Anolis sagrei: one gene and its partners. The protein of the gene in region 2 purifies or fractionates together with the protein of the main gene of each other region. This does not show direct contact. Links are inferred from orthologs where the notes say so. Each region holds a gene or a part of one and is shown on either strand. Other genes may lie near its edges.

Evidence for each region. The genes of interacting proteins can lie anywhere in the genome.
Region 1: the proteins of CDK1 (region 2) and CCND1 purify together in Homo sapiens (affinity purification with mass spectrometry; 4 studies listed by BioGRID and IntAct, counting the BioPlex papers as one, with this or other methods). This does not show direct contact. The link is inferred for Anolis sagrei from reciprocal best matches to the Homo sapiens genes CDK1 and CCND1.
Region 3: the proteins of CDK1 (region 2) and CCNF purify together in Homo sapiens (affinity purification with mass spectrometry; 3 studies listed by BioGRID, with this or other methods). This does not show direct contact. The link is inferred for Anolis sagrei from reciprocal best matches to the Homo sapiens genes CDK1 and CCNF.

Annotation. Positions count from the first base shown.
Region 1 is NC_090021.1:266,611,808-266,618,826, forward strand, and holds the start of CCND1 (G1/S-specific cyclin-D1), read left to right. Parts: upstream 1-4,016; 5' UTR 4,017-4,395; coding exon 4,396-4,593; intron 4,594-6,229; coding exon 6,230-6,445; intron 6,446-7,019. UniProt on the Homo sapiens protein: Regulatory component of the cyclin D1-CDK4 (DC) complex that phosphorylates and inhibits members of the retinoblastoma (RB) protein family including RB1 and regulates the cell-cycle during G(1)/S transition.
Region 2 is NC_090023.1:165,444,930-165,451,866, reverse strand, and holds the start of CDK1 (cyclin-dependent kinase 1), read right to left. Parts: upstream 3,006-6,937; 5' UTR 2,890-3,005; intron 1-2,889. UniProt on the Homo sapiens protein: Plays a key role in the control of the eukaryotic cell cycle by modulating the centrosome cycle as well as mitotic onset; promotes G2-M transition via association with multiple interphase cyclins.
Region 3 is NC_090034.1:27,930,436-27,938,331, forward strand, and holds the start of CCNF (cyclin-F), read right to left. Parts: upstream 3,004-7,896; 5' UTR 2,935-3,003; coding exon 2,922-2,934; intron 1-2,921. UniProt on the Homo sapiens protein: Substrate recognition component of a SCF (SKP1-CUL1-F-box protein) E3 ubiquitin-protein ligase complex which mediates the ubiquitination and subsequent proteasomal degradation of target proteins.

The DNA.
Region 1 (7,019 bases), on a different chromosome or scaffold from region 2:
ATTGTTTGGGAGCAAGGAGAGGGGGGAGGGAGGAGCTGCCCATTGAGCGAGCTTTATATTCCCCCCCCCCCAAAAGAGCCCCCAATTAAGACATCCCCATTGCAGGAGCGCCAGGGCAAGCGAGAGGAGAGGCATGGGCACAATCCTCCCCCGGGATCAGAATAGAAGAACCCCCAAATTGGGGAAGTCCGGGTGATTCTTATGCCAAAACCAGGTCCTTGAATTGCATTGCTGTGCCTTTTCGGGCGATGCTTTCCAGAAGCATTCTCTCCTGACGTTTCGCCCACCTCTATGGCAGGCATCCCCTGAAGTTGGGAGGTCTGTTGGAAACTAGGAAAATGGGCAATCAATTGGGGGTTAATCTATCCGTGGAATGCTGGGAGGGGTTAGCCAGTCTTTGAAGCTGCAAGGCCATTCAATGCTAATCAAGTGAGGTTTAGATATCTGGAACGTCCACGGTGGAAGAAAGAACTCTTGTCTGCTTGAGGCAAGTGTGAATGCTGCAGTTGGCCACCTTGATTAGCATTGAATGGCCTCGCAACTTCAAAGACTGGTTAACCCCTCCCAACAAAGGTTCCCCGCAGGCAGGAAGCAGCCAGGCTTTGAAGCTGCAAGGCCATTCAGCGCGAATCAAGTGAGGTTTATATACCTGGAAGGTCCAGGGTGGAAAAAAGAACTCTTGTCTGCTTGAGACAAGTGTGAATGTTGCAGTTAGCCACCTTGATTAGCATTGAATACCCTTGCAGGATCAAAGCCTGGCTGCTTCCTGTCTGGGGCAATCCTTTGTTGGGAGGTGTCAGACAGGCTTTGAAGCTGCAAGGCCATTCAATGCTAATCAATATTCACACTTGCCTCCAGCAGACAGGAGTTCTTTCTCCCACCCTGGACCTTTCAAAGATATTAGCCTCACTTGATTAGCATTGAAGCTTCGAAGACTGGCTAACTCCTCCCAACAAAGGCTTCCCCAGGCAGGAGGCAGCCGGGCTTCGAAGCTGCAAGGCCATTTGATGCTAATCAAGGTGGCCAACTACAGCATTCACACTTGCCTCAAGCAGACAAGAGTTCTTTCTCCCACATATATAAACCTCACTTGATTAGCATTGAATGGCTTTGCAGCTTCAAAGACTGGCTAACTTCTCCCAAAAAAGGCTTCCCCATTCAGGAAGCAGCCGGGCTTTGAAGCTGCAAGGCCATTTAATGCCAATTAAGGTGGTCAATTGCAACATTCATAGTTGCCTCGAGCAGACAAGAGTTTTTTCTCCCACCCTGGACATTCCGCAGATATATAAACCCCACTTGCCTAGTTTCCAACAGACCTCACAACCTCTGAGGATGCCTGCCATAGATGTGGGCGAAACGTCAGGAGAGAATGATTCTGAAACATAGCCAGACACCCCGGAAATCGCACAGCAAGCCCAGCGATTCCGGCCAGGAAAGCCTTGGACAACACGTATCATCCTGGGAAGTTTGCATCCCAAGGCGTGCCTGGAATTTGCGGGGAGTTGCCTCGAGCGAGGCTCGGCTCCAGCCCAAGGAAGGCGCCCTCCCTGGAGGCAAGGCAGCGCGAGGGAGCCAGTCGCCCAGGAAGCCCGGGCTTGTGGGTGAAACGGGCCAGACCCACCAACCGGGGGAAAGAGAAGATCCCCGGAAGCCGGACGGGGCAGACTTCCGAGTTCCACCTCTCTCGCCCCCATTGACTTCCTTCCCTTGAGCCACGCGGCTTGGGGAATGTGTCTCCTGAAGTCAAGGCACAAAGGAAGGCCGCCCTGCCCCTTCCGAGACCCATTGCGGGACTCCTTGAAGTAGAATGCAACTTTCCTTAATGTATTGTCGGCTTTCAAGGCCGGAAACACTGGGTTGCTGTGAGTTTTCCGGGCTGCATGGCCATGTTCCAGAAGCATTCTCTCCTGGCGTTTCGCCTGCATCACAGATGCAGGCGAAACGCCAGGAGAGAATGCTTCTGGAACGTGGTCATGCAGCCCGGAAAACTCACAACAACTCAACTTTCTTTAATCCCTCTCTGCGCCTTTAATTCCTGCCAGAGATTCAACTCCAACAAACAGGTCGCCCTGCGGAAATGAATGGCTGATCCTTTCCCCATATGATGTAGGGGCCCATTCAAAGATTTGGGGCTGAAATCTACATTTTGGGGGCTCCAGCTGCCAGTTTTGGACCTACCACGTGGCGTTGAAGCCCCACCACGTTTCTCCTTCTAAGCTGAGGGGGAAAAGGAAGGGGCCTGAGGCTCTGGGAATGGTGGGAGTTGCACTCCAAAACACCTGGAGGGCCCAAGTTGGCCCAGGCCTGCTTTAAAGAGACGCTGCAACTTCCAGCTCTGCTCCCTCTCTCTCAATGCTGCCTTTGTTCCCCATCTTGGAAGAAGTAAACCTGGTTTCCAAGTGTGTTTTTAGATGGAAAGGGGGGAAATCAACCCCCCTGATCCCAAAGATCTGGCTGGCATTCTGCAGCCACGTGGTAGGTCCAAAACTGGCAGCTGGACCCCCCCCCCCCCAAAGTGTCCAGATTTCAACCCCAATCTTTGAAGGGACCTCTATATCCTATGGGAAAAGTTTGAGCCAATCACTGGGTTGCTGTGTTTTCCGGGCTGTATCACTCATTTTCCAGAAGCATTCCCTCCTGACGTTTCGCCTGCATCTATGGCAGGCATCCTCAGAGGTTGAGAGGTGTGTTGGAAACTTAAACAGGAGAATGTATTGTCGAAGCCTTTCATGGCCAGAATCACTGGGTTGCTGTAGGTTTTTCAGGCTGTACCGCCATGTTCTAGAAGCATTCTCTCCTGACATTTCGCCTGCTTCTATGGCAGGTATACCTCACAACCTCTGAGGCTGCCTGCCATAGATGCAGGCAAAATGTCAGGAGAGAATGCTTCTAGAACATACAGCCCAAAAAACCTACAACAGCAAAGGGACTCATCACACTAGAGAAAGAATCCACATTAAATCCGGTTTCTGCTTCCTGCAGAATTCTGGGGTTTGTAGTTTAGGAAGGAGCCTTTAACAGTGTCACTAAACTACAAGGAGAATTCTGCAGGAGGCAGAAACTGGATTTAAAGTGGATTTTTTTCTGTAATGTGATGAGGTCATAAGTGAGGTTTCTATGCTTTTGGAACATGGCCATATAGCTTAAGCTGACTTGTGTGGGGAGGAAGGGGCATGAGGCTGTGCGGAATGGTGGGAGTTGCACTCCAAAACAGGAGGTACAAACCGGATTTAAAGTGGATTTTTTCTCTAGTGTGATGAAGTCATAAGTGAGGTTTCTATGCTTTTGGAATATGGCTTTACAGTTTAAGCTGGATGATTGGGGGGGGGGGGGGGTAAAGCTGTGAGGAATGGTGAGAGTTGTACTCCAAGTTGGTCCAGGTCTCCGGGCCTGAGGCTGTGAGGAATGGTGGGAGTTGCACTCCAAAGCAGGAGGCACAAACCGGATTTAAGGGGGATTTTTTTTCAATGTGATGAAGTCACAAGTAAGTGATGTTTCTATGCTTTTGGAACATGGCTATACAGCTTAAACTGGATGAAGTGGGGGGGGGGGAGAGGAAGGGGCCTGAAGCTGTGAAGAAGGGTAGGAGTTGCACCCCCAAACACTTGGGAGGGCCCAAGTTTGCCCAGGCCTCAAGTTTGCCTGTGTGTGGCCGTGGCCTACTTCCCCCATTGTATTCTGCACCAGCTGCATAAAGCCCGCATTATTATCACCATCATCACCATCATTATTATTAAACATATCCTGCCTAATGCACTGGAAAGACAATTTGCTTCTTTTTCCCCCTCCCCGGGAAAAAAAAGAGAGGGGGGGATCTTTAGTGCTCATTTGCATGGGTATGCAAAAGAGAGAGAGAGAGAAGGGGGGGGTAAGCGCCTTGCTGCTGCTGCTGCTGCTTCTCCTCCTCCTCCTGCTTGAACTGCGGCGAAGGGGAAGGCCTTGGAGGCGATGGGATGGCTTTAGGGCTCTGCCCCTTGCTTTTGGCTCCTCTCCCTCCCTCCCTCTCTCCCTCCCTCCCTCCTTCCTCGCTCGCTCTCTCCTTCCTTCGCATTCTTTGATCTCCGCTTAACAACAGTCACGTCACAAGAGGGGGCTCAGGCGGCAGGGTGGAAGTTTGGAAAGTTTCCCCGCAGCCTCCAGAGGGCTGGAGCAGCAGCAAGCGGTAGCACCAGCGAAGCGAAGCAGGAGGAGTCGTTGCTGCTGCTGCTGCTGCAGGAGAGTCAGCCCAGCCAGCAGCATCCGAGCAACCAGGGAAGGAGAAGAAGGAGAAGAAGAGCAGCCTGGAAACAAGACTCCCTCCGGAGAGAAAAGAAACAAAGCCTCGCAAGAACAGCATAAGGAAGAGAGGAAGCACGCGGGGAGAGAGAGAGAAAGAGAGAGAGGCGAGGCGTCGGCATGGATCACCAGCTGCTCTGCTGCGAAGTGGAGACCATCCGGAGAGCCTACCAAGATGCCAACCTCCTCAACGACCGGGTCCTGCAGGCCATGCTCAAGGCCGAGGAGACCTGCTCGCCCTCCGTCTCCTACTTCAAGTGCGTCCAGAAGGAGATCTTACCATATATGAGGAAAATCGTGGCCACTTGGATGCTGGAGGTTGGTAACCATTCCGAGAGAGAGAGCGAGAGAGAAGGAGGAAAGGAATGGCAAGCTTGGGCTTCCTTGGCAATAGTCAAACCACCCTTGCTTGGAGAGAGAGAGAGAGAGAAAGGGGATTGCAAGACTAACTTAGTAATAGTCAGACCAGCCCTGCAGAACCTCTGCTTGGAAAGAGAGAGAGAGAAAGGGGATTGCAAGCCTGGGCTTCCTCTGCCTGCCTCTCTTTCCTCTCTCCGGCATTTCCTCCACCCGAAGATAGCCTTTCCTCCTGGGCTGCTTTCTCCCTGCCTCCCTTTCCTCTCTTTCCCCGGCGTTTCCTGCACCCGAAGCCAGGCCTCCTTTCTCTCGCTGTCACCTTTGGAGGCGAACTTTTGAATGAGCCCGAAAGGCAGGGTCCTGGGAGCGAAGCGTGGGCTGCTTCCTCGCCCAGGCGCCCCGGCTCCTGCCTTCCCTTCTGGCCTTTCCCTCGAGCCTCCCCGGGCCTCCCAGGGGGGGATTTTGATTTTAGATTTAATATCCATGGACACGTATGCAAGTGCTCCCCGTGCCAGTATTCTGCGCCATCTTTGTTCTTTTATTGCAAGGGTTTATTAATCATTAGGAGGCGAGAAACTTCCCTTGAGGGTGGGGGGGGGGGGTCCCTGGGCTTTGGGCTTGCAAACTTTGGGGAGAAACTTTTCTTTGTTCGCACAGAGAGAGAGAAAACCCCTGGTCTTCCTCTCCTCCCCCCCTCCCCACCCCCGCCCGGAAGACGTGCTTGCTTTCTCCTGCAGAGACTTGTCGGCAAGGTCGCCCAGTACAAAAACAAGTGCAAATCGGGGTCCCCCTTTGGAGGAGGCGCTTCAAAGGGGTCCCATCAGAAGCAGCCGGCTTTGGGCTACATTTTCAGCCCTTTCCCGAAAAAATCCGCGCCCGGGAAGTATTTTTAATTAATTTTTGAAAGCCCCCCGGGTGGCAAATGTCGCACGTTGCTTCTCAAGAAGAGAGAGCTTGGAGAGGAATGGGGGGTGCTGGAGTTTGACTTCGGGGTGTCCCACCAGAGGATCCCCCGTGATTCTTCTCATGAGGGATCGGTAAAGAATCGCCCGGGGTTTGTTTTCAGCTACTTTTGGAAGCGCTGGTGATTTTTTAAACATTTTTAAATATTTTTTGAAAAGATGACGTCTGGGGAAAAAGCGTGCAGCTGCCTCTTCGACGCCACCTTTGTGTCTCGAGCGAGGAGGGGGGGAGGCAGCACCCAAGCCAATGGGAGCCAATAGGGGGCACCTCAGCTATACACCCCCCAAAAAATATCTCCAAGCAGACCTACTTCTAACTACTTTGGGGGGTCGCTTCTTAATTTCGGGCTTTTCAAAAGCCTGTTCGCCTTTTTATTTCGCCTCCTCAGTCCCCGACCACGTTTTTCCAACTTCCCTTGCGACTTTCTCTTTCAGTTCTTTTCTCTCCTTACACTCTCAACACATTTATTGACTTGGTTCATTTGGTTTTTATAAAAGTGGGAAATTCATTTCATTGGATTTTCTTCACCATTCTTGTGTGGAAGAAAAAGTTGGTTCAAAAAAGTAAGGATTTGTTTCTTGTTTTTCCCTTCCCCGTTTTTTTGTTTTGTTTTTTTCCCCTATTTTCCCTTCAGGTTTGTGAGGAGCAGAAGTGCGAAGAAGAAGTATTCCCCTTAGCTATGAATTATTTGGACCGATATCTCTCTTTCGAACCCCTTAAGAAAAGCCACTTGCAACTGCTGGGAGCTACCTGTATGTTCGTTGCCTCCAAAATGAAGGAAACCATTCCTCTCACTGCAGAAAAACTGTGTATTTACACTGATAACTCCATTAGACCCAGCGAATTACTGGTAATTTCGTACTTTTGTCTCTTCAGAAAACTAAAAACCCTCAAGCCACACTGATAAAGAAACCAGGCTGATCAATTCTTCAATTTCAGATCTCCTAGACAGATTCCCTTCCTCTAATGTTTAGGACTGAAAACTTCATGCGGTTTGCTCACTTTGAATTCTTTCCACCATTACCTTTACAAACTTTACTCCAGCGTGTGCAAATGGGCATATATGGGAAGCATATAATTGAATGAATATATATATATAGAGAGAGAGAGAGAGAGAGAGTGAGTTTTTGAAGGCTTTCATGGTCGGAATCACTGGGTTGCTGTGAGTTTTCTGGGCTGTATGGCCGTGTTTGCTTCTGAATGCTTCTGTAATATGGCTATACAGCCCGGAAAACTCAGAAACAACCTATATGATCAGAGGTTGAGTACAAGAGTCTTAAAGCTCACCAATTCCAAGTTGGGAGGCAGTCCCATATACACATTTTTCAGAAGCAATTCCTAATCCCTTCAATAGGATATTTATTATTGTTATTGGGTTGCTGTGAGTTTTCCAGGCTGTATGGCCACATTCCAGAAGCATTCTC
Region 2 (6,937 bases):
ACTCACAAACAGGAAAAGGAAATGCATGGACTCTTTAAAAAAAAAGACTAGTATGCAAAAGGATTGTGTAGCATCGACATTGAGGAATGAATCCTTCCCAAAATACCTTGGAATCCAGGAGGGTCCAATGAGGGCAGCTGAGATAGTGACCCTTTTGTTTTCTGAGTGTTCAGTGTAACCATACACAAAATTATTAAAGTAATAATTGACCTTACATGTATAATGTGTATAATGAATTCCTGTTTAGACTTGGATCCCGTTACCAAGATATCTTATTAAATATATGCAAATATTCCAAAATACAGGACGATTCAAAATATGCAACACTTCTGGTCCAAAGCATTTCAGATAAGGAATACTCAACCTGAACTGGATCGTGTTATTTTAATATTTATACTAAAATGTTTTTTAATGCTTTGTCTTAATGTTTAAATGTTGTTTATGCCTTCTATTTTGTGGTTTTAATGATTTTAATGCATAGCTATATGTTAGTGTTTAGTTACTATGATTTTTTTTGAGTCCCTGGTGCGCAGTGGGTTAAACCCCTGTGCCGGCAGGACTGAAGACCTACAGGTCGCAGGTTCGAATCCAGGGAGAGGCGGATGAGCTCCCTCTATCAGCTACAGCTCCTCATGTGGGGACATGAGAGAAGCCCCCCACAAGGATAATAAAAACATCAAAATTATCCGGGCGTCCCCTGGGCAACGTCCTTGCAGACGGCCAATTCTCTCACACCAGAAGCGACTTGCAGTTTCTCAAGTCGCTCCTGACACAACAAAAAATGATTTTTTTTCTTTTTACATGTATGTTGGCATTGAATTTTTGTCATTAGTATTTTGTAATCCGCCTTGATTCCCCCTATGGCAGCGTTTCTCAACCTGGGGGTCGGGACACAAGAGGATGTCAGATGGGTCGCCAAAGACCATTAGAAAACAGTAATTTCTGTTGGTCATAGAGGTTTTGTGTGGGCAATTTGGCCCAATTCTATTGTTGGTGGGGTTCAGAATGCTCTTTGATGGTAGGTGAACTATAAATCCCAGCAACTACAACTCCCAAATGTCAAGGTCTGTTTCCCCCAAACTCCACCAGTGTTCACATTTCGGCATCTTGAGTATCCAGATCAAGTTTGGTCCAGATCCATCACTGAGTGCACAGTGCTCTCTAGATGTAGGTGAACTAGAACTCCAAAATTCAAGGTCAGTGCCCACCAAATCCTTCCAGGATTTTCTGATGGCCATGGGAGTTCTGTGTGCCAAGTTTGGTTCAATTCCATTGCTGGTGGACTTCAGAATGCTCTTTGATTGTAGGTGAACTATAAATCCCAGCAACTACAACTCCCAAATGACAACCCCTCCCCCAGCCCCACCAGTGTTCAAATTTGGGCGTATTGGATATTTGTGCCAAATTTGGTCCAGTGAGTGAAAATACATCCTGCATATCAGATATTCACTTTACAATTAATTGTTGTGTTGTTCATTCATTCAGTCGTCTCCAACTCTTCGTGACCTCACGGACCAGCCCACGCCAGAGCTCCCTGTCGGCCGTCACCACCCCCAGCTCCTTCAAGGTCAGTCCAGTCACTTCAAGGATGCCATCCATCCATCTTGCCCTTGGTCGGCCCTTCTTCCTTTTACCTTCCACTTTCCCCAGCATAATTGTCTTCAATTAATAACAGAAGCAAAATTACAGTTATGAAGTAGCAACAAAAATAATTTTATGGTTGGGAGTCACCACAACATGAGGAACTGTATTAAGCGGTCATGGCATTAGGAAGGTTGAGAAACACTGCCCTATGGGGTTCGAAAGAGGGGATATAAATACAGTAAATAAATCTATATCTGGTGTGATTTGGCCAGGGATGGACCATGGATTATGGGACTTGCAGTACCTTTGTTCAATTCCTGAGACCACTGCAACTCCCATCCAATTACCGACAAAGACCAAAATTGGCACACTGAGACTCCATGACGCACTCTACATCCAGGTGCAGTTTGAAGGAGGATGCACCATGGACGATGGGACTTGCAATACCTGCACTCCCTTTCTAAGACCATTACAACTGCCAACAATGATGGATCAGGAGCACAATTTACAGAGACCCAGCATAACCCACTCTACATCCTGGTGCGGTTTGGAAGAATTTGACAATGGATGATGGGACTTGCAGTCACTTCACTCACTTCCTGAGACCACTGAGACCCTCGCCAATGACTAATCAAGACTAAACTTGGCACATGGAGCTCCAATGACCCACTCTACATCCTGGTGCAGTTTGGAGGAGGACAGATAATGGATGATGGGACTTCAAGTACCTCCACTCCCCAAGACTGCTGCAAAACTCATCTAATGACCAATCAAGACCAAAGTTGGCACACAGAGCCCCCATGACCCACTCTATATCCTGCTGCTGTTTGGAGGAGGATGGGCCATGGATGATGGGACTAAGTGCCTTCACTCACTTCCTGAAAATAATGCAGCCGTTATCCAAAGACCAATAAAGACCAAACTTGGCATACAGAACCGCCATTACCCACTTTCTCTAATAACCCAGGCAACGCCGGGTCCCCAAGCTAGTAAATGAATAAATGTGGACTCCACTTCAACTGCCCAGGGATCGTGGGAGTTGGAGTCTTTACAAGGCCAAAAAGGGCCCAAACGACAACTCTGAGGATTCCATGGCAGTTATAGTGGAGCCAAACTGCATTCATTCCACAGTGTAGACGCAGTAGATGGCTGGGGGAATTCTGGGTGCTGCAATGCATGGAAAACTATGCTAGCAACTCCTTTCTCTCAGTCTGAACGGTGTTCCATGAGGCTGAGATTCCCAACTAGTGTGGCTTTCTGGAGAGTGTCGAAAAGGGGGTCCCCCAACACCACCTCGCCCCTTACCCGTGCTTCATCCGTGGGCGCTGCCCCTCCAGACCCACGCCGCGCTCCTCTCTCTGCAAGTCTCCCTCAGGCAGCCGAGCAAGAGGCGGATTCAAATGAACCGCGCCGAGCCGCCGCCAACGCGCCAATAAGGACGGGCCGCCGCTTTCAAAACGGCCAATCAGCGCGCGGCAAACCACCGGCGCCAAAGCGCTGCGGAAGAGCGGTCTTGGCTCGAGCCGAGGCCAGGCGGGCGGGCGCAGGAAACAGAGAAGAAAAGGAACAGCAACAAGAAATTAAAAATCGCGAGGCAGGGCACGTATTGATGACGTAACGCCATGTTGATACATAAGTGTCCATAAACCCTCTTAAATTTCTTTGGAATAATTTCCAATGGTATAAATAGACTCTCCTGCTTAGAGAGGCTTCCCAGCTCTTGGGTCCTTCCACATAGCCCTATAAAATCATAGAATCATAGAATCAAAGAGTTGGAAGAGACCTCATGGGCCATCCAGTCCAACCCCCTGCCAAGAAGCAGGAATATTGCATTCAAATCACCCCTGACAGATGGCCATCCAGCCTCTGTTTAAAAGCTTCCAAAGAAGGAGCCTCCACCACACTCCGGTGCAGAGAGTTCCACTGCTGAACGGCTCTCACAGTCAGGAAGTTCTTCCTCATGTTCAGATGGAATCTCCTCTCTTGTAGTTAGTTTGAAGACATTGTTCCTCGTCCTAGTCTCCAAGGAAGCAGAAAACAAGCTTGCTCCCTTCTCCTCCCTGTGGCTTCCTCTCACATATTTATACATGGCTATCATATCTCCTCTCAGCCTTCTCTTCTTCAGGCTAAACATGCCCAGCTCTTTAAGGCGCTCCTCATAGGGCTTGTTCTCCAGACCCTTGATCATTTTAGTCGCCCTCCTCTGGACACATTCCAGCTAGTTCACCTACATCCAGAGAGCACTGTGGACTCAAACAATGATGGATCTGGACCAAACTTGGCACAAATATTCCATATGCCCAAATATGAACACAGATGGAGTTTAAGGGAAATAGACCTTGACATTTGGGAGTTGTCATTGCTGGGATTTCTGGTTCACCTACAATCAAAGAGCATTCTGAACTCCACCAATGATGGAATTGAACCAAACATGGCATACAGGACTTCCATGACCAACAGAAAAAACTGGAAGGGTTTGGTGGACATTGACCTTGAGTTTGGGAATTGTAGTTCTTCCACATCCAGAGAGCACTGTGGACTCAAACAATTATGGATCTGCACCAAAGTCTACAAGAATACTCAATATGCCCAAATGTGAACACTGGTGGAGTTTGGGGAAAATAGAATCTTGACATTTGGGAGTTGTGGTTGCTGGAATTTATAATTCACCTACAATCACAGAGCATTCTGAACCCCACCAACAATAGAATTGGGCCAAACCTCCCACACAGAACCCCCATGTGGGCCACAGCAACCCGTGGCAAGGGATGGCTAGTCTATATAAATAAAAGTGTAATGTTCATTTGTGGGAATAACATAACACAAAAACCACTGGGGGAATTGACACCAAATTTGGACACAAGACACCTAACAACCCAATGTATGTCCTTCACTCAAAAAAATTGATTTTGTCATTTGGGAGGTGTAGTTGCTGGGATTTATAGTTCACCTGCAATCAAAGAGCATTCTGAACTCCACTAATGATGGAATTGGGCCAAACTTAGCACCCAGGGCTCCCATGACCAACAGAAAATACTGGAAGGATTTGGTGGGCAGTGTTCTTTGATTTTGGAGTTGTAGTTCACCTACATCCAGAGAGCACTGTGGACTCAAACAATGATGGATCTAGACCAAACTCTATACGAATACTCAATATGCCCAAATGTGAACACTGGTGGAGTTTGGGGAAAATAGACCTTGACATTTGGGAGTTGTAGTTTCTGGGATTTATAGTTCACCTACAATCAAAGAGCATTCTGAACTCCACCAATTATGGAATTCAACCAAACATGGCATACAGGACTTCCATGACCAACAGAAAACACTGGAAGGGTTTGACCTTGAGTTTGGGAGTTGTAGTTCACCTACATCCGGAGAGCACTGTGGACTCAAACAATGATGGATCTGGACCAAACTGTCTGGTTTGCCTACTCTGGAATATGCAACATATCATTGCCCTTCTTTAAGGGTGTCTTTCAAATCTATGATACTATATCTCTGTGTGTGAGAGAGAATCGTATCTATCTATCTATCTATCTATCTATCTATCTATATTTATGACTGGATGGCTCTTTGTCAGGAGGGATGTGGGTGAACTACAATTCCCAAACTCAAGGTCAATGTCCACCAAACTCTTCCAGTTTTTCTGTTGGTCATGGGAGCCCTGTGTGCTAAGCTTGGCCCAATTCCATCATTGGTGGAGTTCAGAATGCTCTTTGATTGTAGGTGAACTATAAATCCCAGCAACTACAACTCCCAAATAACAAAATCAATTTTTTTGAATAATGGGTTGTTAGGTATCTTGTGTCCAAATTTGGTGTCAATTCCCCCAGTGGTTTTTGAGTTCTGTTAATCCCACAAATGAGCATTACATTTTTATTTATATAGATACACTAGGGCAGCTCATCTCACTGTTGCCCATTAGAGGGCAGAGTAGACAAATGGATAGACATACAAATACAAATGTGTAGTTTTGACTCATTGCAGAAAATGTTACTGCAGAGAGACATAGGTTAGACAACTGAGATCAGCAATGTGTGGTCTCCAAATGTTGTGGGACTATATATTCCATCAACCTAGCCAGCATAGCCAATGGTAAGGACTGTGATTGGAGTTGCAGTCCAGCAATGTCTAGAGAACTGCACATTCACTATGCTTGCTTTAGCAACCTTTTCAGAAAGGCATGGTTAGTTTCAAAGTCTTGTGGGAAATTAATTTACCTAAAGAAATGCAAATAGCTCTGTAAAATAAACAATAGTGTAAACTAGAAGCAGAAATCCAAAAACATAAAACTTTAAAATGCTTCCTGAGAACTTGCAGAGTAAAGAATGCAGGGTAGGTGAAACAATATAACATGTTCTTACACATGCCCAATTCTTACGTATATTGTTATTACGTAAGTGACTAATATGCCATAAGTATATTAGCTTCACAGCCAGTTAGGCAAACAACTGCCTAGACTCAAGTAATAGTTTTCAATCTTTGTACCTCCGGATGCTTTTTGGCTTAATTTCCCGGAAGCCCCAGCAGCAAGGATTATGGGAGTTGACGGCCAAAATATTTGGAGAAAAACTGGAGAACCATGCAGACCCTATGATTGCATTCTCTGCCCAAAACTGCAAGGGAAAAGTGGGTTGAAAGTTGTCCCTCTGAGGCCTCTTCTACATTGCCATATAAAATCCAGATGATAAGTTTTGAAGTGGCAATGGAAACTCATATAATCCAGTTCAAAGAAGATAATGTGGATTTTCTGCTTTGATAATCTGGATTATATGGCAGTGTAGAAAGGGCCTAAGTTCCTTGAGAGCTATTTACAGTCATAATGAACATGACTAGGGGAGAGGAACAACTAACTTGAATTGTGTCGATGTTTCTCCCAACTGGTTGTGCAACAAACCAGATAAAAAAAGAGGCACCGTGGTGTAATGGTCTGAACACTGGACTATGACTTGGGAGACCATTGTTGATGCTTGGTAATTGTAATTGACAGGAGTATGCCAATTTCTCCAGTTTTTATGCCTCCTTTACAAATAATGTGTTCTAAGTAGATAGGGTAATAAAAGGCAGCCTTGCCTAAGGACATTGCCAACTGGAAATCATCCAGTTTCTCCATATGCTATCCCGACTGTAACCTCTTGACCTGAGTACAATCATCACCATCATCTTTAATTACTTATTAATCGCCCTCCATCCGAGATGCTCCAGGCGATTTACATTGCAGAAATTATACAGGATAAAACACATACATACAAATACTAAAATTAACATGGCTCAAATGTTCTATTAAAAAGCCAGGTCTTAAGTGCTAGGATAAAATGCCCTGAATCACGCATGGCTCTAAAATAGGGAGGCA
Region 3 (7,896 bases), on a different chromosome or scaffold from region 2:
ATATATCCAACTTCAGTGCCGTAATATTGGCCTGAATCCATCAGATGGAGAAATGCAGAGGAGCCAATAATACGAAGGGGACTTTTGAAGGAAAGAAAGAGTCTAAAGCTCGCCTGCCTCCCTTTGCAAAAAGCTGCTTACCGCCCAAAAGGAGGGGCAGGGGCAGAACCCTATAGGGCAAGTCCTGAACTTTGAAAAAGAGCACAACTCAAACTACAAAATTCCATTAGGGTTCTTCTAAGATCTTCAGCACAAAAGTAAACCTTGCATAAGGTTGCAAAGATTCCCAACAAAAGGGGCTGCATCTACACTACATATTTAATTGCAATCAATACCACTTTGAACTGCCATGGAATGCTAGGAGCTATAGTTTGTTGAGGTATCAGAGCTCTTTGCCAGAGAAGGTTTGCAAAACAAAAACAACGATAACACAAACCTTGGCAGTTAAAGTGGTATTAAACTGCATTAATTCTACAGTGTAGGTGCACATAGGCTGCCCCTCAAACTCCGTGCCAAACAACTCCTTCCACCAATTATTTTAAGAACTTCACTTTTCAAAGTTTTTAGTCTTTAGGGTCATCTTCACTGTAGAATTAATCCAGTTTGACACCACTTTAACCGCCATGGCTCAGTGCTATGAATCACGGGAGAAGTGGTTTTTTTCAAGGCCTTTATCCTTTTCTGCCAAGGAGTGAGCCTCACCAAACAACTCCCACAGTCCATAACATTGAGCCATGGCAGTTAAGGAAGTGTCAAACTGGATTAATTCTACAGTGTGCAATGAAGACCAGAAGGAAGGCCCCACTGAATTAAAGAGGACTTTCTTATCCCCAGGTAAAGGTTTCCCCTTGACATTACATCTAGTGGAGTCCAACTCTGGCAAGTGGTGCTCATCTTCATTTCTAAGCTGAAGAGCTGGCATTGTCACCTCCAAGGACATGTGGCCAGCACAATTGCATGGAGTACCATTACCCTCCTACCGAAGCGATACCTATTTATCTACTCACATTTGTATGTTTTTTAATTGCTAGGTTGGCAGAAGCTGGGGCTAACAGCAGGGGCTCATCCCGCTCCCCGGATTCAAACCGCCAAACTTTTTGTCAGCAAGTTCAGCAGCTAAGCAGTGTAACCCACTGCACCACCAGGGACTCCACTCTGATCCCCAATTTCTTGGAATTCTACCATAATGAACTGGATAGTTACTAGTCCCAACAAGAGTTTAATAATAATAATACAGTACAGTATTGCTCATCCAATGTTCTGTATTGTCTAATGCAGGGGTCCTCAAACTAAGGCCCGGGGGCCGGATATGCCCCTCCCAGGTCATTTACCCGGCCCTCGCTCAGGGTCAACCTAAGTCTGAAATGACTTGAAAGCACACACTGAAATACTAATAAGTTTATATTTGTTAAAAATGATCTTCATTTTAATTATTGTATTGTTTTAAAGCATTTTTGGCACTACAAATAAGATATGTGCAGTGTGCATAGGAATTAATTCATGTTTTTTTTTTTCAAATTATAATCCGGCCCTCCAACAGTTTGAGGGACTGTGACCTGGCCCTCTGCTTAAAAAGTTTTTGGACCCTTGATCTAATGCATTCCGAATTCACAGCTGTTTCAATACGATGTGATATTTTGGTGCTAAATCCATAAATACAGCAATTACTACATAACATTACCGTGTATTGAACTGCTTTTTCTGTAAATTTGTTGTAAAACATGATGTTTTGGTGCTTAATTTGTAAAATCATAATGTAATTTGACGTTTAATAGGCTTTTCCTTAATCCCTCCTTATTATCCAACATTTTTGCTTATCCAACGTTCTGCTGGCCCCTTAATGTTGGATAAGCAAGACTCTACTGTAGTAGTAATAATAATAATAATGTTATTAAAATCAAGTGGATGGCTACTAGTCCCAACAAGAGTTGAATAATAATAATAATAATAATAATAATAATGTTATTAAACTGAAGTGAATGGTTATTAGTCCCAACAAGAGTTAAATTATTACTATCGCATTTATTTTACTGAACTGAACAGTCACTAATCCAAACTAGAATAACTATTCTTATTCTTCTTCTTATTATTATAAAAGCAAAATGGCTATTATTTATTTATTTACAACATTTTTACACTGCTTTTCACATTCCTGGGGGGAGTCAAAGCGGTTTCCAAAAAGAATGGCAAAATTCAATGCCTTCCATATATAAACCAAATTATAACTTAAACAGCATATAACTAAGCATAAATTCAATAGGACAATTTGCCATAAGATAAGAGGACATTTAAACATGAAACATAAAAATTAAAAACACCTAATACAAATATTAAAAGCACATATCCAAACTAGTCCCAACTATATCATCATCATCATTATTATTATATCTATTTTATTGAATTGAACTGGATGGCTACTAGCCCCAATAATAATAATAATAATATCTATTTTATTGAATAAATTATTATAATTATTATAATTATTATATTACATTGAACTGGATGGCTACTAGTCCCAATAATGATAATAATATCTATTTTATTTAATATATTATTATTATATTACCTTGAACTACATGGCTACTAGTCCCAATAATAATAATAATAATAATAATAATAATATAGATTTTATTGAATAAATTATTATTATTATATTACCTTGAACTGCATGGCTCCTAGTCTCAACAAGAATTTAATAATAATCATCATCATCATCTTATGGCACTGAACTGGGTGGCTACTAGTCCGAACTAGAGCTAAATAATAATAATAGTAATAATAATAATAGTAGTAGTCTTAATATTTCTCTCTGCTCTGAAAAGAGACTCAACCCGGCCAAGCCTGCAAACAACGCCACTTGCCACTCAAGAACCTGCAACAACAACCATGAAAAAAATCATGTAAGAGTTTCAATCCCTCACCGCCAACTTTCATGCTGCAAGAACGGACGTCGCCGCGCCAAACTCACCGCCAGCGCTCAAACAGGCCGGTGGGTGTGGCCCCACTTGGCCCCGCCCCCTCCGGGCCCAGTCTCATTCACAAGCACCTCCCGCCTCCTTTTTCAGCCTCGAAGCCACGCCCCCCACTTCGAACTCAGCGACCAATTGCTTGCGGTTCCGCCAAAGGGCCTTGACGAAGCCACACCTCCTTCCTGCTTGTTTTTTTTCTTTTTTTCTTTTCAAAAAAGTCACCGCGCGCTCACTTTTTCAAACCCCGCTGGGCTGCTGATTGGACGGGAGGCGGGGCAAAGAGAGCGCCGCCGGGCCGCGATTGGGCAGCAGGACTCCGAAGGGGTGGGGAAGATTCGAACGCTTGGGGCTGGTCGGCACAGGCGCAGATGAGAGCAACAGAAAGCATTCCGGCCCAAGCCTCCCGAGGAATGCCTCCGCAGTGCAGAAGTCATGCCATTCCGTTTCAGTTGAAAGGGCGTGCTTTGATGCAAGGGAATCGCAGTTTTACAATACATAATAGTAATAGTAATAGCATTCTAGGGTTCAAAGGATCTCTTAAGGCCATCTATCCCATCCCTTTATTCTGCCTTCATGCAGGAAAAGCACCATCAAAGCCCTCCCGACAGAGGGCCATCCAGGTTCTGCTTATTAATACTGTAATAATCATATTAGAATCCTAGAGTTGGAAGAGAACCCAAGGGGGCATCTAGTCCAAGCCCCTTTATTCTGCCATGCAGGAAAAGCACCATCAAAGCCCTCTCGACAGATGGCCATCCAGCCTTTGCGGTGATGATAATAATAATAATAGGAGCAACCCCAGGGGGCATCTAGTCCAGCCCCCTTTATTCTGCCATGCAGGAAAAGCACCATCAAAGCACCCCCAACAGGTGACCATCCAGCCTTTGTAGTAGTGATGATAATAATACAATAACAACAACAATAGTAATAAGAGCAACCCTAGGGCCCATCCAGTCCAACCCCCTTCTGCCTTCATGGAGGGAAAGCACTGAAATAGAGCAATGTAGAGCTGTCGTGGATAGTGAGATCCAGACTTCTAGGCTGCTGTGGGCCATGTCTGGGGAGACAAAGAAGCCAATGTTACAGAATGAATCTCACCAAGTTATAGAATCTTAGTTGGAAGAGACCTCGTGAGCCATCCAGTCCAACCCCATCCTGCCAAGAAGCAGGAACATCGCATTCAAAGCACCCCCGACAGATAGACATTCAGCCTGTTTCAAAGCCTCCAAAGAAGGAGCCTCCACCACAGTCCAGGGCAGAGAGTTCCACTGCTGAACAGCTCTCACAGTTAGGAAGTTTGCGTGTGGTGATGGGGTGGGGGTCACACTCGATTACAGCACCGCCAAAGCCCCCTGACAGATGGCCAGGGGGCTCAATAATAATCATAATACAATCATATTATCCTAGATTTGGAAGGAAGCCCAAAAGCCATCTAGCAGGCCCGTAGCCAGGATTTCGTTTCGGGGGGTGGGGTGATTTTTTTTCAGGGGGGGTTTCAGGGGGGCTGAGCTTCGGGGGGGGGGGGGGCTGAGTCTGAGTGAAAGAGGGTCTACCCTAGCAAACATTTTGTATCATTACCCCAATACCCCCATGCATATGGGATATATTGAGTATGGTGATCAGATCATGATATGAATACACATAACAGTTTAAGTAATGCACCAGTAAGGCCTTTTCGCGAACCACCATGAGAATTGGGGGGGGGGGGGCTGCTGAAGCCCCCCGAGGCCCCCCCCCCCGGCTACATGCCTGCCATCTAGTTCAACTCCCTTCTGCTTTCATGCAGGAAAAGCACCATCAAAGCCCCCTGACAGATGGCCATCCAGCCTATGTTTAAAAGCTTCCAATGGATTCCAAGGCAGAGAGTTCCACTACAGCTCTCACAGTTAGGAAGTTTGTATGTGCAGGCGGGAGGGTCACATTCGATTACAGCACCATCAAAGCCTCTTGACAGATGGCCATCCAGCCTCAAAAATAATCATAATACAATCATATTATCCTAGAGTTGGGAGGGAGCCCAAAAGCCAGCTAGTCCCTTCTGCTTTCATGCAGGAAAAGCACCATCAAAGCCCCTGACAGATGGCCACCCAGCCTCTGTTTAAAAGCCTCCAAGGAAGGAGCTTCCAATAAACTCTGAGGCAGAGAGTTCCACTGCCAAACAGCTCTTATTACGGTCAGGAAGTTCTTCCTACTAAAATTCAGGTAGAATGTCCTTTCCTGTCATTTGAACCCATTGCCCTGAATCTCTCCAGAGCAGCAAAATAAATAAATAAATAAAATAATCTTTCAAAAGCCTGTTCCAGTCCTCAAATCTTTCCAGAGTTATCATGCCTCCTTTCGGCTTTTGTTTCTCCAAACTCAACTTAGCCAGCTCCGTAAGCCATTTCGTATAGGCTTACAGAGCCAATCATTCCCACTGATCATTTCAATCGCCATTCTCTGGACAGCATTCCAACTTGAAAATCGTCCCCTTGAAATGCTTTGCCTAGAACTGGACACAGGGTTATTATTCCAGTTGAGAATGTGTTGTCGAGGACAGACCCCCCCCCCCCTCAGGGAATATTAAATTGGCATGGTTGGCACCACAGCTGAGAGTTCCACAGGCCTCGGGTGCCTTCTAAATTAAAGAAATAATTCTCCATCCAGTGGTCTGGAGGAGCCAACCAGCAGCTACCAGCGCCCAGGAGACTTCTCACCCCCCCCCCCACCTTTAATTCCTGCTTCTCCGTCTCTCCTTTTCCTCCCAGAATCCTTCCTTTCTCCTCAGTTCCACATTCCACTGCCAGCCTGGTGGCCACTTGGTCCACATGACCCACATAGCTCCCATGACCTCCCCCCTCTCCCAGATCTAGCAACACTGCTTTCCTTCCTTTTCTTACCTTGGCTAACATTGACCTGTTCCTGGTAAGCCCAATATGTTCTCCCCAAACCGTGGATACCGAGATCTATCATTTGTCCCTCGGTATCCGTGGATGAGTAATCTGTGCTCCTTTCTCACCCCAAGCCCCTCGCTAACCTTTGTTCCCACCTTGAGAGCTCCAATGTGCACCAAAACCATGTTTCTCCTTTGTTTTTCCTTTTTTTTTCACTCAATTGTCCTCAGTGAGAGGGTTCTTTGCTGTGTTGCTGTGGGTTAGACTTCATTAGAAAGAAATATGCTAAGTCACACAGCAGTTAAAGTTATCATGCATCTTTATTGTTCAGAATCCAAGAAATAACCATTCTGCTCACTTTCTAGGGCCTAAACTACAACATCATAAATTACTCAATGGTTGTGGCTCCTTTCCCACAAACCAGAGCCCATCTCCTCTCAGCTCAAGGCAATTGAGTTTTATGGCTGGTTCATATGTCCTAGTAAGATCTTGTCCTCCCTTTTTGCCAAAGGCCATGTGCTCTACTTCAGGGATGTTAGTCAGCTGGCATGAGTGAGGGATCATGACACTCAGATAACCTAACTTTTACTCTACTAACCCTGAAACTGCTTTAGCCTTGCTCACGGATGCCGAGATCTGTTGTTTCTCCCTCGGTATCCGCTGATCACAGCCCTACACGTCCTCTAAGACCCCTGAACCCCCTCACCCAACTCCCACCTCCATAGGTGTCCTGGTTATCCCGGAAGCCTCCATATCCACCAATCTTCACCTTTTTCTGTTTTACCCATCTATTCTCTTATCCATAATTCCCTTGCCCGCACCTCACCCCAAGTCCCATAATCCACATCTACACTAACTTATGCAGATACCAAAACCCAAAGGGGCTCCCAGGTATTCGTGGATTTCTCCTGTTTGTTCCCCCATCCCATGGGCATCACACTACCTATCTATTGGGTTCTCTCGCTGTCCACGGCCCCATATATGTCCATATCTTAGCTTTTCCTCCCCATGGGAGCCAGGGACTCCATAAGGTCAGGTCCTCCTTGACATTCATATACCTCCTGCATATGTGTCCCCTTTGTCCTGTAGCTACTGGGTCTCTGTGGGGTAAGTCCTCCACTATCCGTGAGATCACTTTTGTGTGTTTTATTAAAATTTCTGTATTTTGTGTCTTACTCTAAAATCTTTTTGGAGGAGCTTTGCCACCAAACCTTGTGATGACCTTTTACTCACTTATTGTGACCTAGAAAGTCCAGTCAGCTGTATTCCTGGGCTTTATTTGCATGAAACTGGATTCAATCGCCCTTCACTTTTTGGCTAGTCCATCTCTATTAGCCCCATAGAACTCCAGCTGTGCCAAGGACAACAGGATCCAGAGGTACAGGCCACCTGTCCTTTGCGCAGCTTATTGGACATACAATTACACTCATCGCTTGGCATGGTGGTTCCCAGATAAGAAAGCCATGCCCCGTTGACACACAATAGCATTTCCCCTTTCTCAGCAACTTGCCACTTCATCGTATTAGGATGAACAATACTCTGCCTTGGACTTTTTTGACATTCAGCACCCACTGCACTGCACCCACAAACTGGGGACTCAGATTGTTATCATTTCAACAATAAAGGTTCTTGGGACCTGATGTCCCCTATTGTTTGTCCCTTGCTGGGACCACATAATAACAATAATAATAATAATAATAATAATAATAATAATAACTTTATTTATACCCCACTACCATCTCCCCAAGGGACTCGGTGCGGCTTACATGAGACCGAGCCCACAATACATCAGTTATAAAAACAATAACAACAGTAATACAAACAATAAAATAAAACTCATAACAAAAAATAAGCAATAAACATTAACAGTAACACAACAATGTTTAAGAGACCTATAGCTGGGCCAAATGTAATAATTAAATTTTTAAAAATAATGTTGAGCATAATCCACTCAAGACTCATTTCAGCGTCTTTGTCTATTGGACTGCCCAGCCCTCATCAGCCATTGGACAGAGAAAAATCTACATTGAGAGTGAGGAATGCTTTCTGGTTGG